2 linked regions of the Alligator mississippiensis genome follow. The protein of the gene in region 2 interacts with the protein of the main gene of each other region in a pairwise test. Links are inferred from orthologs where the notes say so. Each region holds a gene or a part of one and is shown on either strand. Other genes may lie near its edges.

Region 1 (8,255 bases), on a different chromosome or scaffold from region 2:
CATTAATATTATTACACAGTTACCAATACAACTGTGGATTTTCTTATCTGTACCAAATCAATCAAGGTCTAATTTCAACCATGGGGATGAACATTGATTCTTTCTACAAAAAAAATTGAGGAAAGAATGCGTCAGTGTGTGCTTGATAACTGAATCTAAAGAGGAACAGTTGCTTAACTGGAGAAAACAATATTGCACTTCGTACTTTTAATGATAAGCATCTCCTGCCAAATGTAATGCTTTCGCATTCTCCATGTGGACAAATCAATTTGCTCAGAAAACAAATCATGAACAGACATCATGATCATCCAATCAATTCAGGAGCTGTTGAGCCACCAGAGGAGCATAATAATGTAACAGAGATTACTATAAAACAGAAAAAGGTTGGAATTTACACCTAAAATTTAAGCCAATATTATAACAAGGTTGGAGGAGGATTAAATTTCCTGCCACTCCACCACCAGCAGAGCTCAATTATGCTGTAACAAGGTTACCTGGTACATTGTATCCATTGTGTGGGTAAAATCTTACAAAATCATCTTTGGAGAGTTTATCAGTTGTTACAGGCATATAGGAATAGCTTCTTTAAAAAAAAAAAAAAGAAAGAAAAAAAAAGAAGAACTTTATTAATGAAGCATGGGGTTACAAGCAGATAAATGTACCTGCTTCCATGTTTATTTCTCTCTAAATATGTATATACTGCTTAAGCTGAATGAAATGCAGTTTGGTTTGGGCTATGTAAGCTTGAGGTTGATTTTCCAGCCTTTCCTTGTTTTAACAGCATATTTAAAGAGTGTTGACATTAACTGTAGCTTTTCTAACACAAGTTTATATTTTTACTTATAATTTGTTTTTTGTTGGGTTGGTTTTTTGGGGGTTTTTGCTGTACAGCTATATTTTTCCTCTTCTATTATCTGCAACTGTCCTTGCAACTATTATTAGACTTGAAAAAGTCACTCAGCTGCCAAGAAACAAGTTACTGATATATGCTGCCTTCTGTTTTTACACTAATGTCACAAATTGCTTCCATAGGAATAGCTAATTCAGCAGAGCCAAGACTATGTAAAGCCACTATTCTCATGATACTGTTTGAGCTCCTGTGCCTGACACTAAATTTTTCAATCAATTAATAATTACCACTGGATCCGGCCATTTCAATTTCAAGTCATTTTAATTGATTTAATTGATGACAGTTGTATCTACCCAATATTTATTGCCAAATCTAATACAAAAGTCCTGAAAATACATCTAGGCAATTCATGCTCTTGTTTTGCATATGCTTTGGGCTACCTCTTATTTAAGTTAAATAACAAAAAAAACCCAAGTTCCAGTTTTAGTGTAGTGCTAATCAGGAGACTCCTCAATGCAGTAGTGTTCCTTTTATAGCAATGAATTATGAATGATTAATTATTAATGTTAGCAACACTCTAAAATATGTAAAGTGCTCTAAAACAAACTTCCTTGGGTGAATTTGATATCTTTTATTAGACCAACCCAAATGGTTGGAGAATAGTTATTAAGCAAGCTTTCGGGTTCAAAAACCCTTCGTCAGGCTAAGGACGCTGCAGCAGATGCAACAACAAACTTTGCATGCGTTAATTAATTATCTAATTAATTAATTAGATTAACTTACTCTAGCATCCTGGCTAAATGAGAAAAGATAAGAAGTGTCTACTAGTTATTTCATTTGTTTTTACTTCATATTTTTAAACACCCAGAGAAAACAAATATTATTTAATGATCAAAATATCTAATACAAACAAATTAGAATAAGAATTCAAAGGTAGATTTGCTCTTAACACTACAAGCCAGATATGCAGGGCAGAATCGCAGTCAGAAACTTAAATATCTTAAGTAAATCTTGGAAATCATCAGCCCCACCTTGCCCTACAACTGTTAGCAGCCTCCATCCCCTGCTCCTGTCTCAAACATGCTTTCTACCATCCTGTTTCTTATGCATGAGGATAACTCTCTATCATAATTTGCAGGCAAGGTTCTTTGAGTAGATGTGATATCTTTTATTAGACCAATTAAGCAGTTGGACAAAAGTTCTCAGCAAGCTTTTGGGTTCAATCACCCTTCTTACAACCAAAAAAAAAAAAAACAGCTATCATCATTTGCAAACTTGTCACATTATCTGTTTTAAATCTTTCTTGAATACTTCTCTTTTTCTGCCATGCCTACAAAATCACTCCCATCTGGCATTGGTTAAGGAAATGTCCAGATGAGACTTCTATTCTGATAATGTTATCAGCTTCATTCCTGCATTATTCACCCATCTCCAACGTGTTTACTTGCTCTGTCCATTTTTCATCCTATCTAACACAGGGAAGTTTGCTAGTGGCTTCAGCCAGGCCATAATTTCACTCCTAGAGTGAATAAAGACCATTTTCCTAGTTACTTATCTGCACAGTAATCTGTACAATAATGGATTTCAGTCTTGACTTGGGTTTCTGGAGGCTACTATAATAAAATAATAACACAAAAGGGGTATGGATATCAGCTACATGCATATATATAAGAATCACAGAATCATAGGAAATTGGGGTTGGAAGGGAGGTCCTCAGGAGGTCATCTAGTCCAAACCCCTGCTCACAGCAGGTCCATCAACAACTACCTCATCCCAGCCAAGGTTTTGTCTGGCTAGGTCTTAAAAACCTCTAAGAATGGAGATTCCACAACCTCTCTGGGTAGCCTGTTCCAGTGCTTTACTACCCTCCTAAACTTCCCTTGCTGCAAGTTGAAACCACTGCACCTTGTTCTGTCATCTGCCAGCACTGAGAACAGTCCATCTCCACCCTCTTTGGAACCACCATTCAGGTAGTTGAAGGCTGCTATTTTATCCCCTCTCAGTCTCCTCTTCTCTTGATTAAATAAGCCCAATTCCCTCAGCCTCTCCTTGTAAGTCATGTGTCCCAGCCCCCTAACTATTTTTGTTACCCTCCACTGGACTTTATCCACAAATTATTTCCAATTTATTCACATCTTTTCTGTAGTGGGGTCTCAAAACTGGACACAATACTCCAGATGTGACCTCACCAATGCTGAATAGAGGAAAATACATCTATACATATATATATCTGTCTACAGCAGGGGCAGGCAACTATTTCAGGCAGAGGGCCGCTTACTGAATTTTGGCAAGCCATTGAGGGCTGCATGACAGGCAGCCAGGGGCAGATAAATACTAATTTTCTAAATTTTTTAGGGGCCCCATGGGCCAGATAGAATGGCCTGGCAGGCTGTATCCAGCCTGCAGGCCGCATTTTGCCCACCCCTAGTCTACGGGGTTCAAATTAAATTTCAACTCTGGGGAGGGGGTGGGGGAGGGCGGAGGGGAGAATCTGAAAAAATAACAGAAATTAAACCAGTTCATTGATTAACAAGTCCATCTAAGTGAAGGAGCAATCTGATCAAGTTATGATCTTCGAATCTTACAGGGGAGCTCTTGTCTCTTATGGGTGGGCTCAGCCCTGCCCCAAACTCCCCCTTAATTTGCACCCTGTCTATCAATATCTATCTATTATTATCTATATCTATCTATTACATTAAAGAAACAGATTCCCACAATGCAATTTGCCCTAAAACATATTCATAATAAGGTAGTGTAAGAGTGATGATGTAGCTATGATGGTTCAGCAATTATGTGAGAGAGAAGGATTTCTTAGGGTGATATTTTTTATTGAACAAACTGTGTGGTAGGATCAGAGGTTTCCCAGGCTAGAACCTTGTCTGGTTTTGCATTTTTCCTATCTGACAGAAGGAGTCTGGCTAATGGCTTCACCTAGGTCATGTCTAGCATGGGAAAGCTTGTCTGACTCTACTGGATAGTTGGTCCAATAAAAAAATACCTCCCTAAGAAGTCATTGCCTCTCAGATAAGAAGTTCATAGTTACATCTAGGGCCTCTCAATCCAGGTTCCCTAGAAGCACTGTGCAAACAGTGAGTCGAAGGGCTCCCCGAAGGCTTGGGGAAGGCAGCATCGTTTGAAACCCAGTTGTAGCGTGAACGGAGATGCCCAGCTCTGGGCTTGTGCCAGCCATGCTGGGCACCCCAGAAGTGACGCTCTCCTAGCTGGCAGCAGCAGCTGCGCACAGATCCGTTGTGCAGGCTAGTGCTTGTCTTCTCCTCTGCAGCCCTTGAGGGAAAAGCTGTTTTTTGGGGGGCCTGGGTGCTCTTTGATCTGCTCTTTTGGCCCCGTCTTTTCTCTGCCCCCCACTTTGATGGACCTGAGCAGATGCACGGGCTTAGGTCTGTGGGCACTTGAGCCTCAGCAGGCATCACTGAGGAACGCGAATCATCCACACCCACGTGCAGCCAGGCTACGCGTGGCAGAGGCAGCGCCCGAGATCCGCTGCCGCCGCAACCGCGTGGGCTCGGAGCCCCTGCAAGCAGCGACCGCCCGCCCGCCCGCCGGCAGCGAGCCGCTCGCGTTTGCCCAGGGCACGTGCGCCCGCCCCCGCGTTACCTCAGCCGCTCGTGCTCCCGCTTCGGCTTCTTGGCTCGCGGCTCGCCTGCTGCCATCTCCGCACCCGCGTGCGGCAGCCCCGGCTCGGCGCGATCTCCCCTCAGGCAGCAGCGGGGCAGAGTCGGCTACGCAAAGCGCCTGATCCGGGCCGGGCCGGGGGCGGGACGCTGCCGCACACGTGCGAGAGGCCTCCCACCGCCCCGCGGGCAGCACGGCTCCAGGGGCCGCCTAAGGCCGAGCACCCCGCGCCCTCACGCAGTCCGCGGAAGCCGGCGGCAGGGCACGCGTTTGCTGCAGGCAGTCACATAGTCACCTGCGCCGGCCGGGGAGGAGGTGCGGGGTGGGGGCCTCGGAGCCATATTTGCCAGCGCTGCGGGGGGAGCGGGAGCGGAGCCGGGTCGGGCCGGGCAGGGCTAGTGCGGGCTCCGGCGCAGGTGAACGGGGTCGCGCGGGGAGAGCCGGGGCCTGGAAAAGGAAGGGTGTTTTTTTTTCTGGTAGGTGTTGAAAGCTGATGCTTCTGGAAATGACCTCCCTTTGTCCTGCCCGTGTTGCTCTGAGCCTGGAAGTCCCGGCCTGGCTCGTCACAATTTATTACTTCATTAGTTAATGTTCTTGGAGGCTATAAAACGCTCAGGGTGGCTGTGCTTTACTGCAGGGTTTTGGCCGTCTCCGGACAGAGGAGCGTGTGCTCGGGATAACCATCTGGGAAGTAGCAGGGAAAATTAACAAGGGCATTTTATGTTTTCTGTTTATAGACGTCTGCCGCATTATGCGCTTTCGTTTTGGCTGGGAAACCTTCCCTTTGTCCCTTTTGACTTAAAAATGTTTCCAGCTGGCAGCCTAGACTTGGTTTCATGAAGGAATTTGACATTGAAAAAAATATTGCATCTTAGTAATGATGTGGTTGAGAGTTAAGGGGTGTATCTAGCTGGTTTTCTTGGTCATGGTGTGAAAACACTACTTATTTATTAACTGGGTTGGTCCGGGTTTGTTTCTTAATGGAGTCTTTTACTGCCGTTGGCTTAAAGTTAAATACGGAAAGCCTCTTGTGCTGTAGGAGAAAACAAGAGACTGCTGTGTTAATGCTTCCTGTCTCTTGCAGTTTTACAGTTGTGTGAACCCCTATCCACATCAGATTTATTTGAGATGTTTAATGGTAAAGCCTCAGCATTATGACTAAGTTCAAATGTGCAATGTTTAACTTTAAAAATATTAAAGCAAGAGACTCTACATATAAAAAAAAAATAGCCTTAACTTTCTGATTATGTGTAAGTAGAACATTTTAAGTATGGAAATTGAGGCTCTGATGTTGAATTCAGACATAAGAGAATGCCTGAATTGTTGGGGATCGTAGTGCATTTCAGTGTGAACTGAGACTTAAAGGTTTTTAGGTGTCTAGAGCCTTTTGCAATTGATAGGAGTAAGATGCTTACAAAAATTTTGAGACTTTAGGCCTGGATGTCTGAAAGTTCATTTGAAGAGTATTCTTCAATTGGTGGATCTGCTGTAGTTGTCTAAACCAGGGGTGGGCAATTATTTCGGGCGGAGGACTGCTTACTGAGTTTTAGCAAGCCATCAAGGGCCGCATGACAGGCAGCCACGGCAGATAAATATTAATTTTCTAAATTTTTTAGGGGCCTCGCAGGCCAGATGGATGCGACCTGCCAGGCCATTCTAGTCCATGTTTTGCCCACCCCTGGTCTAAACCGTGTGAAATGGGAAAACCAGACTTCTATGCAAAAACTTAAACTACAATTTTGGTAATAGCAAGTTGTTTCATAGTAATTCAGGTAAGAACTTCCTTATCTTTTATTAAGTATTTTTTTTTTTATCATCCCCATATGGATTTCACAGGAGCAAGATGGCCCATGGTATCTAGATGGCAAGGAAAGGCCTTTTTTTTCCTAATTTGCAAACACTTAAGGTGCCAGCTTTTCTAGAGACCACTAAATGCATACCCCTTGCCTTTTAAGTCTAAGTTTCATGTAGCCTGTGATGTGGGAACATAAAGTAAACTAAATCTGTTGCCTGCTATGTCTTTAGAATTCTTGGCTTTGTGTTTTGGCATGTTAACAAACCAAGGAACCATATCTCCCTTGTTAACACTCGGGTTGTTTCTCTGAAGGCTTGTCTGTTAGGAACAGGGAGAAGCAACATCAAGGAGAACCCAACTTTGAGCTACCCAGCAGCAGCGCAGTTCCCTACTGGCTGGAAGCTATACCCTCAGTGCAGCCAGGAAACAAGGGGCTAGGGAGGAGTGACAGCAGCAGCATGAATGCAGTTCCCAGCTGGAAGCTGTGCTTGTGCCCTAACCAGGGAGTCAGGGGTTAGGAAGAGTGGTGTTAGTGTCGGCTCCCAGCTGCCTGACCCAGTCATAGGCACAGGCAAATCCCCCTTGCTGCTGATGTGCCACCAAAGCCACCCAGTGCATGCTGGACTTGAGATGAGTTGTTCTGGCCTGTGGCTTTAAAAAGTTCCTAGCCCCTGGTTTATGGGGTACAGTGCTCCTCTGGGCAAAGGGATTCTAGGTTCCAGTCCCTATTCCCAAGGTTATTGGCTTGTTGTTATTATTATTTAACAATGATATTTGCATGGGAACTGCAGGAAGAGTCCTGGGTGCTGGGATCAACCCAGGTTTTCCTTCCATTAGTGAAGCGGTGTAACCACTAGTGTACAGTGCCAGTCTCTCTCTTGTTCTCTTTCTGGCCTCATATCTCCTGTGATGGATGCCCAGTGGAGAGGAGGAGGAAGAGAATGTTTTACCCAGCTTATCCTTTAGTGTGGCAGAATATTCTCCTAAGAAGGGGATTTGAATCCCCCAGGGGACCTAAAATTCAGGGTTCCTGATTGCGGTGCAAGTACTGTGATATGTTGCGTTTAAAAAAAATGTTGGCTGTTGTAGCCCAATGTTTTTGAGCTAAGTATGAGTTAAGCATGCTCTGAGCACATATAATGCATCTTTGGGGATGAGTTCATCCTTGCATACCCCATAATGCTAAATGCCTCACATTTGGCTATGCTCAGAAGGTAAGTGCAGAACCTTGTAATTTTGCAGTCCAAAATGGAAGCATGGTTTGAACTTGGACATCTTCTGAGGTTTTGGAGCTTGTAGAGCAGGGCCAAACTTAATTACTGTTTGAAACTTGGCCAGTTAAATTATACCAAAATCTTGTTTAGACTCCTGCAGGACCATACTGGATCTTGACTCACCTGGCAGGTTTGAAGCAGAGCCAGGAGTGGAACCCACATCTCCTGAATTTCTACCTAGTGCCTTAGCTACAAAACCATCTCTCTCTGTTGTGCTTTCACGTGCAGCTTTGTTTATCTCAGCAGGCACCTGCATTGTTGCAAGTTGCTGGCATGCAATATAGCATCTTGCACATTGCCTGTGTATACTGCTCTCTGCCTTCTTTTATAACCATAGTTGTAACTTTTCAGTACATTCTAGGTAATGATTAGTAACAGTGTAAAGTGGCATCATACCTTTAATAGTAATATATCTGTTTAAGGGTTTACAGTCATTGGGCATCTAATTAAACACTGTCTGTAATAATGTAATAGATGTTATTTACCTTTGATAGTATGCCTGTTCCTGTGTCCTCTTATCAGCTCTGAAAGGAGTTGGAGATTGTAATGTTTTTCCATATTGTTACATGAAAGAGTTTAAGCAAACAACAGTAATACAAATACAGTACAACTGATTAATCCAAACTGATTAATCAAAGAGCTGTCCAGTGCACTAAGGAAATAAATTGTTTATAGGGGAAATAATTTGTCTATCAGTTGTAAT
Region 2 (7,567 bases):
TAAGAGAATGCTGTGCTCCATCATTGATCAAAATGTCACTGATTAAATGGTGTTCCACCCTAACAAGTAGATATTCCTTCATATTATATCCAAGAGCCTCATGAACTGTAAAGACAATGTACTGATTGTGCAAAACCAAGACAATGGATTCAGAGACCTTTCTGTGATCTTGTTTTATATGAACACTACATACATTATGAATCAACTGTTGTGGAACCTCAGTGATGTTCAAATATCCATAATGCATTACAATCCTCGACAACTTAAACATCTTTTGCATAAATAATAAAACCCATTTCAAAGCGGGATTCTAAAAGCCAAATCTTCTAAAGACAGTCTGCAAATATGGGGTCTATTCCTGCGTGCCACTAAGTTTTGAGCACATTAAACAAAAAGTAAGACTGGGCCTAGGATCAGCCTAGCAAGTCTGATGCTCTGTGCCTTAAATTCAATCAGAAAAGTGTCATGACAGAACTAAAAGTATAACGCGAATCTAATAACTGCAGAATTTAGAATCAGAGCTAAGTTAGGCTAAAAGGGACCGCCAGAGGGCATCTAGTTCAACCCCCTGCCTGAGGCAGGATCATCTCTATCTAAACCATCCTCTACAATCCATGTAATATCAACATCAACTCCTGGGAGACTAATCACCCAGAACTGCCCCAAATGGAGGATGAGTCTGCTGCAGGGATCGCAGTACTTTGAAATTGCATGACAACAGGAAACGGAAAAGTAGGACCAACAGAAACAATGTGTCATGGACAAATAAAAAAATCCAGTACCACCCACCCCACATGGAAACACATATACGAGCTGCATTAGTCTGTCAATCCTGGATGAACTCCATCAGCCATCTTCGACCACAGAGATAAAACGATCATGGAAGACCATCATCCCTGACTATGAGGGATTGCTAAAGAACATACAATGCATAATATAAACTCTACAAAAGACTACTGTCAACACAAAACAGACCCAATGTCCTAACCTGCCACAGACAAAGGTCCCAATGTCCAGCCTTTATGAAATGTCATCAATATATGCTCAGGAGGTCCCGGTTAGAAGAATCTGAAGCTGAAATCTGTCTACCCAGCAGTCTTTGGAGAAAACATCATGTCGCACTTGTTCATTCCAAACAAAACTGAGGATGATCTTCCTTTGACCAAAACCAGGTTTTAATATTGAACTGCATAATGACAGCAGTTTCTTAACCCACCCTACCACTTAATAAAAAAAAAGATTGGGGGGGAACAGAAATTCAGGACAGAATCAGAGAGAAGTTGGGCTGGAAGGGACCTCCAGATGGCACCTAGTCCAACCCCCTGCCTGAGGCAGGATCATCCCTATCCAAAACATCTATCATCTGAACTCTGCATAAGACTCCCATCACCCTGGACACAACACAGACCTAACAACGCCCTAACCTGCCACAGGTAACTCAAGGGAGCCACAGCTGCCAATGCCCTGCTGTAGAAAAAGGTTAAATGAATAAACAGCATGATTTTTTTAAAAACACCATCAAACTATCAGACAAAGGGGTAACTTCGATGGCATTGTTTCCAAGTGGAAGATACCTGTCCTTATACCATAAAATCATAGAAAATGAGGGTTGGAGGGGACCTCTGAGGTCATCTAAGCCCAACCCCTGCTCCAAGCAGGACCATTCCCAGCTAGATCATCCCAGCCAAGGCTTTGTCTACCTGGTCTTAAAAACCTCCAAGGATGGAGATTCCACAGCCTCTCTGGGTCAGTTTCTCAACCCGTGCAAGCCAAAAATGGGTTCTAAGAATATATGAAAGGGCCATGAACAAACTTAAAAAATGGATTCTCCTTTAGAGGACAAAAATATTTGGGAAACTGAAGCACTGCCCTTGCATGCTGCAAGAGTCCCAGCCTGAGAGGGGCTACTTGGGGGGGAGGGCAGGCTGGGACCTTCATGAGTGAGGGGCACTGGGGGGAGACCGGCCCTCAATGTTTACAAGTGGGCAGGGGGAAAAAACAAAAGGTTGAGAGCTGCTGCTCCAGGTGACCTGCTCCAGTGCTTCACCACCCTCCTCATGAGAAAGTTTTTTTCCCCTCAGATCCAACCTCAAACTTCCCTTACTGCCACAATGCTCGCCATGAAGGGCATCCTTGGATTTCTAGAGTCTGCACAGATCTCCACAGACGTTTCTCTATCCAAACGCTGCCCGGCAATTGGAGATGCAGACTCAAAAAAAAAAAGGAAAAAAAGCCAGGCTCCCTAGACTGGCCAGAGCAGGCAGGACACCAGGATGGAGAGAGAGAAGCAGCGGGAAGCGGCAAGCAACAAGTGAAAAAAAGGACTTCCCGAGCCGGCTGGGAAGTCCTGCCGGGCCCGTGCGGAGGCAGCTGGAGCTCGGCGAGGGGAGAAGAGAGGGGCAGAGGCGGGCAAGGACGTGCAGCCCGCGGGCAGCGCCCATGCCTGGGCCAAGCCGGCCATCTAGCGACGAGCTGCAGAAGTGAAGGCGCACACAAAAGAGGGAAGAAAGAGGCGGGCGGGGGGTTTACATAAGCCATCCCCCTCCTCCTCCTCCTCCTCCCAACTTTGCCGGGCTCCCGCACCGCGCTGCCCCCTCGCAGCCCCGGCCCCAGCCCCGCGGCGCGGGGAAGCCCCCGGCACCCCCGCCCCGGCCCTGCTCGGGGAAGGACAGAAAGTTGGCGGAGCGGCGCCAGCGGCCCGCGCACCTGGAGGTGCTACCCCGCGCCGGCTCCCACCCGCCGCCGTGCCGAGAGAAGCATCCCCGCGCAGGGCGCCGGCTGCCACCTGCCCCCCGCCGCCGAGACAGGTTCCCCCGGCCCGGGACGCTGCAACCCCCACGCACTAAGGTCGTCCCTTACAACTCCTCCCCTCCCCAATGCACTCGGCTCTCCCTTTGCAAGTCCCCATGCACTGGGGTCCACCCGTGCAACCCGCTCCCCACGCACTGGCGCAGCCGGAGCCGCCGCGGACTTTACCTGCCGCGCGCCGCCCATCACCCCGGCCCGCGTCTCCCGCTGCTGCTCCCGCTGCTGCCCGGCGCCAGGAGGGAGGGGGCAGCGGGACCTGCCGCCGCGCGTTTACTCGCCCTCTGTCTCGCACTCTCTGCCTGTCTCCCCAACACGCGCGCTCCAGCCCCTCCCTCTGGCCCCGCCCCCACACTCTCTCCCCGCCCTCGGCAATTTCCTCACTCGCCATTGGACGCCAGCGCTGCCACTTCCCAGCGGCGAAACCACGCCCACCTGCCCCTGGCCCCGCCCTTGTGGCATGATGTGGGGGGGGGGGTCTTGTTGGGGGGACCTAGGCAGGAGGGTGCTGGGATGTAGATGGGCAAGGCCCAGGAGGACTCCGGGGGGGGGGGAGCAGTGAATATGTTGAGGGGGCTGGGGGCAGGGCTTCTGAGGAGAGGCTGAGGGAACTGGGCTTATTTAGTCTGCCAAAGAGGAGACTGAGGGGGGAATTTAATAGTAGCCTTCAAATCCATGAAGAGGGGTTTGAAAGAGGATGGAGCTGGGCTGTTCTCAGTGGTGGTGGATGGCAGAACAGGGAGCAATGGTCTCCAGTTGTGGCAAGGGGAGTTTAGGTTAGATGTTAGGAAAAATTTTCTCACTAGGAGGGCAGTAAAACACTGGAACAGGTTACCCAGAGATGTTGTGGACTCTCCATCCTTGGAGGTTTTTAAGACCCAGCTAGACAAAGCCTTGGCTGGGGTGAGCTACCTGGGGATGGTCCTGCTTTGAGCAGGGGGTTGGACTAGATGAGCTCCTGCGGTCCTTTCTAACCCTAATTTTCAAGGATTTGTACCTGCACCAGAAGCCAAAGGGAATCTGTTGGGCACTTGATGCTGCAATCTCAATTGGCCTCTCCTTAAAGACCCCGGACAACTCTGCCCAAGCCCACCTCTCGGGTCTCCTATGTGGCTGCTTCTTGTCCCTTCCACCCTCCTCCCATATCCATGCCATGGCCTCCTATTCCAGTTTTCTGTGCCATAAGGCACTGAATGACCTTCCAGTCCCAGATACCCACCCTGGTCTCATTCAGATACCTTGGAAAGTCCCATTTCTTCTGTGAGCCCCACAGGAGAGCAGCAATTATAGATAGCCAGGAATAAGAACTGGTGGTACTTCAAAGACTCAGTTAAAAAAAAAAAGCACCCATGAATGACATGCATATGCAAGTGGAAGTGACATTTGTGGGGAGTAAGGAGCTGTGACAACCCCAGACTGTGTTGTTGGAAAATGTTTTGCTTTTTGGTGCTGGTCTGTAGTCCATGTCATATATTAGATTTGCACCCTTTTTTTCAGAACAATAAAGCTATTTCTAGTATAACAAATGCATGCAAAACTGTTCTCCCAAAGTGCAGAATGTGTCACTCTTACACTGTCACCTGGTTGGGGCCTGAAATGGTCTTTATCCTCTGTTTTGAAGAGCGCAGAGGAAAGTGTTTTTGCTTCACGAATACTACCATGCATCCAAACTTCATCCACCTCCACAAGCATCAGTCAGGTGTAATAGCTGATTCAATCAACATCTGTTTTTCGCTTTGACAAGGTCACCACCCTGAATTTCCCCACTTTTATTATCAGGATCAGTTAAGACAAAATGCCAAACATGCCATCATGAGGCCAACCTTCCCAAGATGAGGTTCCAAAATAAGTATGAGGTTAACTTTCATCAAGATCCTTGCTAAGATATTTTCTCATCAGCCACTTGAAACAACAAGGAGGCTTGCAACATCTTTTAAACAAAAAACAACCAACCAACCAACCAAAAAAATCCCCAACACACAAAAGCAAACCCACTGTGCTACCTTTTTTCCTGTCTCCGTGTATGTAACTTTCTGGTTGTACCAGTCTCAGGCCTTGCAAGAAGGCAGCATGTTAACATTTACAAGTATCCTGCTGTCTTGTAAAGTTCACTTTACTGTCTACCCTTCCTATAGGAACAGAGCAAAAGGGAATAGTGAAGAAAAAATAACACACATACTCCCATCATTCAAAAGACACATGGTAGCTCATATTGCAGTTTGCTAGCCTTCATCATCCCTTTTAGATTATTTTAATATCAGAAATATATCCCTAGCCTCTCATTCAGTAGATTGAACACAGAAAGCATGTGAACAGAGGGGAAAAACACACATGCACGATTTACTCCCAAGCACTGACAAATGGTATATAAATTACTTAGTATTTGGATTCCTTTTTTAATATTATTATTTTTAGCCAAAGTGACTATTGCGGCTTAAGCAACGGAAGGTTTGTCTATCAAAACAAGAAAAAGGAACAAAGAAACTCAGATAAAAAAACCAGCAAGTGAAACAACAAGGTTTTCCATTATGACCATTTGATAAACATTGTCTTTCTTGGAAGTATAATTCCTCTAAAACCCTGGCTAACCCAGGAAATCTCACATCAAGAGAAACAATTCTCAACCCAGAGAATTAAGATAGATTTAAATGAAAGACAAAGCTCAGTCTGCAGCATTTGCTGTAATTTCATTCTAGCCCATAGTCTCATTACTGTAGTGTTTTGGCTACTTATACCTCTGAGTCTCACTCTGGAAACCAAGTGCCTCTCTAGACTTTAAGCTCTTTATAACAGTTATTCAGTTCTTGTTCCTTGTGGCTCTTGCTGTCACTCAGTTTCCTGATCGAAGGGGAAGTTATGGCACCAAAAAAAGACTTTTTTTCAGTCCGTCTTAATATCCCCTCAAGGAGTTCCCTCAATCCCTTTCCAGCTTTCCTTCTCTTATTTGCTCCCCTTCCCCGTCCCCCTCCCCCACTCAGATTTACCACTTGTTGGTCGTTTTGTCTCAGGACTGAAAGCTCTCGACATCCCGTCATTACTGCTCCCAGGTTGACAAATGTACATTAATACTAAGTCATGAAAAATGCTCTCTGGCAAATTTTGTTCTCAAGCTACAGCACAATTTGACCAAGAATTTGTTTCCCACGATCTTGCCAGGCTGAGAACAAGAGGCTAAAAGGTCTCAGAGTTGCATTCTCCACTAGGGCTGGTGCAATGTGTTTCATTGGATGTCTAACCTTATCTGTCTCTGTCTCTGTCTTTGTCTCTCTCTCACACACACACACACACACACACATATATATATATATATATATTGACTGCTGCGTGGAGCAAGGAAAGTTAAGAGCAGCTCTATTTAGACAAGCCTTGACCAAGAATGTGCTGTTTCTACAAACCTCCACTAGGTGTCCTCTACCAATTGCTGAGCTGTATTAGAAATACAGTACTGTATTCAGGCAATCTCCCTATAGGATTTTAAGTTTTCTCTAGCTTTGTTTTGCTTAACTGGTCTAGCTAAATGACTCATCCTACTGTGACTGGTTTTATTTTTTTCCCCCTGCCTACTACATCCCAGTGTTGCTGAACTGTTGTTTTACAAGCTTGGCTATTTTACATGTGAAATATTTTGGATCTGATATAGCGATATGCTGACATATCATAACAAACAGCACCGTTACATCCTCTAAGCTAAAAACAGCATTTGACATCTGCTTGGTGGGTTCTTTTTATAAGATGTATTTCATAAAGCTTATTGGATACGGAACAATTTTTCCCACAATATTTACTGTTTCACCTATCTTCTCAAAGGAACAATATGCTAAGGAAAATTGGTTGAAAGTTCTAGGTTTCCTATAAGTTCAGGGGCATTCCTATATCCCTCATAGCCATGTTATGAAATCCTTGCAAGTATGCACCTTATGGCCTTACTATTAACTCCTTCCTGCACTTAAAGTTAAGTGAATCCTTCCCCCCTCACCCACCTTCAAGCTCTGCAGAGAAGAAGTACAAGGTCAATATGCCATTTCAAGTCTATTTAATAAGGCTTTAATTTGATTTGAGAGGTCCCTGGGCCTTGTGCTAGTACTGTGAAAGTGAGGGAAGTTTCGCCTTTAAAAAGCATACCTAATATAGCAGTGCAACCAGGTAAAAATATTTGTTAGCTGACTGAATGTGATAAATGGCAGGAGCATGGTATATTAGCAGGTATGACAAGATGCATACAGTATACTGGCTGTGCTTAGGCTGTTTTCCTAAAATTACACATTACCTGCAACTTGTCAAGGTCCAATAAACAGCTGTTGTCATACAGTAAATGCTGTGGTGTCACAACAATCTGAGATCTGGACTCTTGCTGGAAACCCTTTTTTTCTCTCCCTCTCCCTCTCTCATGTAGTATCACCTCATTTGTCTGCCAGGCTACCATCTGTATGCCCTCAGGGAGTCAAGAGAACAACAACAAAGGAAAGGAGTGAGAAGAAGTAAACAGGAGCTGCTTGCATTAACAAGGATCCATTCAAGGAGGAGGAAGAGAAAGAGGGTGAAAATGCCCTGTCCTAGCAAAAACCTAAAAATGGAAAGTGTAACTGGAAAAGGACAAAATTAAATGGGAGGGGGTTGAGTTTCCTTTGACTTCCAAATCAACCCCAATGGGATCCATTTTACTAGAATTTTGCCAGGAAGGGTGCCTCTCCTGTCATAACACTTGGGATATATAAAAACCAAGTAGTATCATCTCTTCAAATCTCCACTCCCACCTCACTTT

Evidence for each region.
Region 1: the proteins of SIPA1L2 (region 2) and AP3M1 interact in binary tests that used the Homo sapiens proteins (3 or more experiments, as listed by UniProt). The two-hybrid records come from large-scale screens. The link is inferred for Alligator mississippiensis from reciprocal best matches to the Homo sapiens genes SIPA1L2 and AP3M1.

Annotation. Positions count from the first base shown.
Region 1 is NC_081829.1:26,754,703-26,762,957, reverse strand, and holds the start of AP3M1 (AP-3 complex subunit mu-1), read left to right. Parts: upstream 1-4,844; 5' UTR 4,845-4,959; intron 4,960-6,099; 5' UTR 6,100-6,255; intron 6,256-8,255. Other genes in the region: ADK (adenosine kinase), read right to left, coding at 4,466-4,521. UniProt on the Homo sapiens protein: Part of the AP-3 complex, an adaptor-related complex which is not clathrin-associated. The complex is associated with the Golgi region as well as more peripheral structures.
Region 2 is NC_081824.1:151,046,433-151,053,999, forward strand, and holds the start of SIPA1L2 (signal-induced proliferation-associated 1-like protein 2), read right to left. Parts: upstream 3,114-7,567; 5' UTR 2,977-3,113; intron 1-2,976.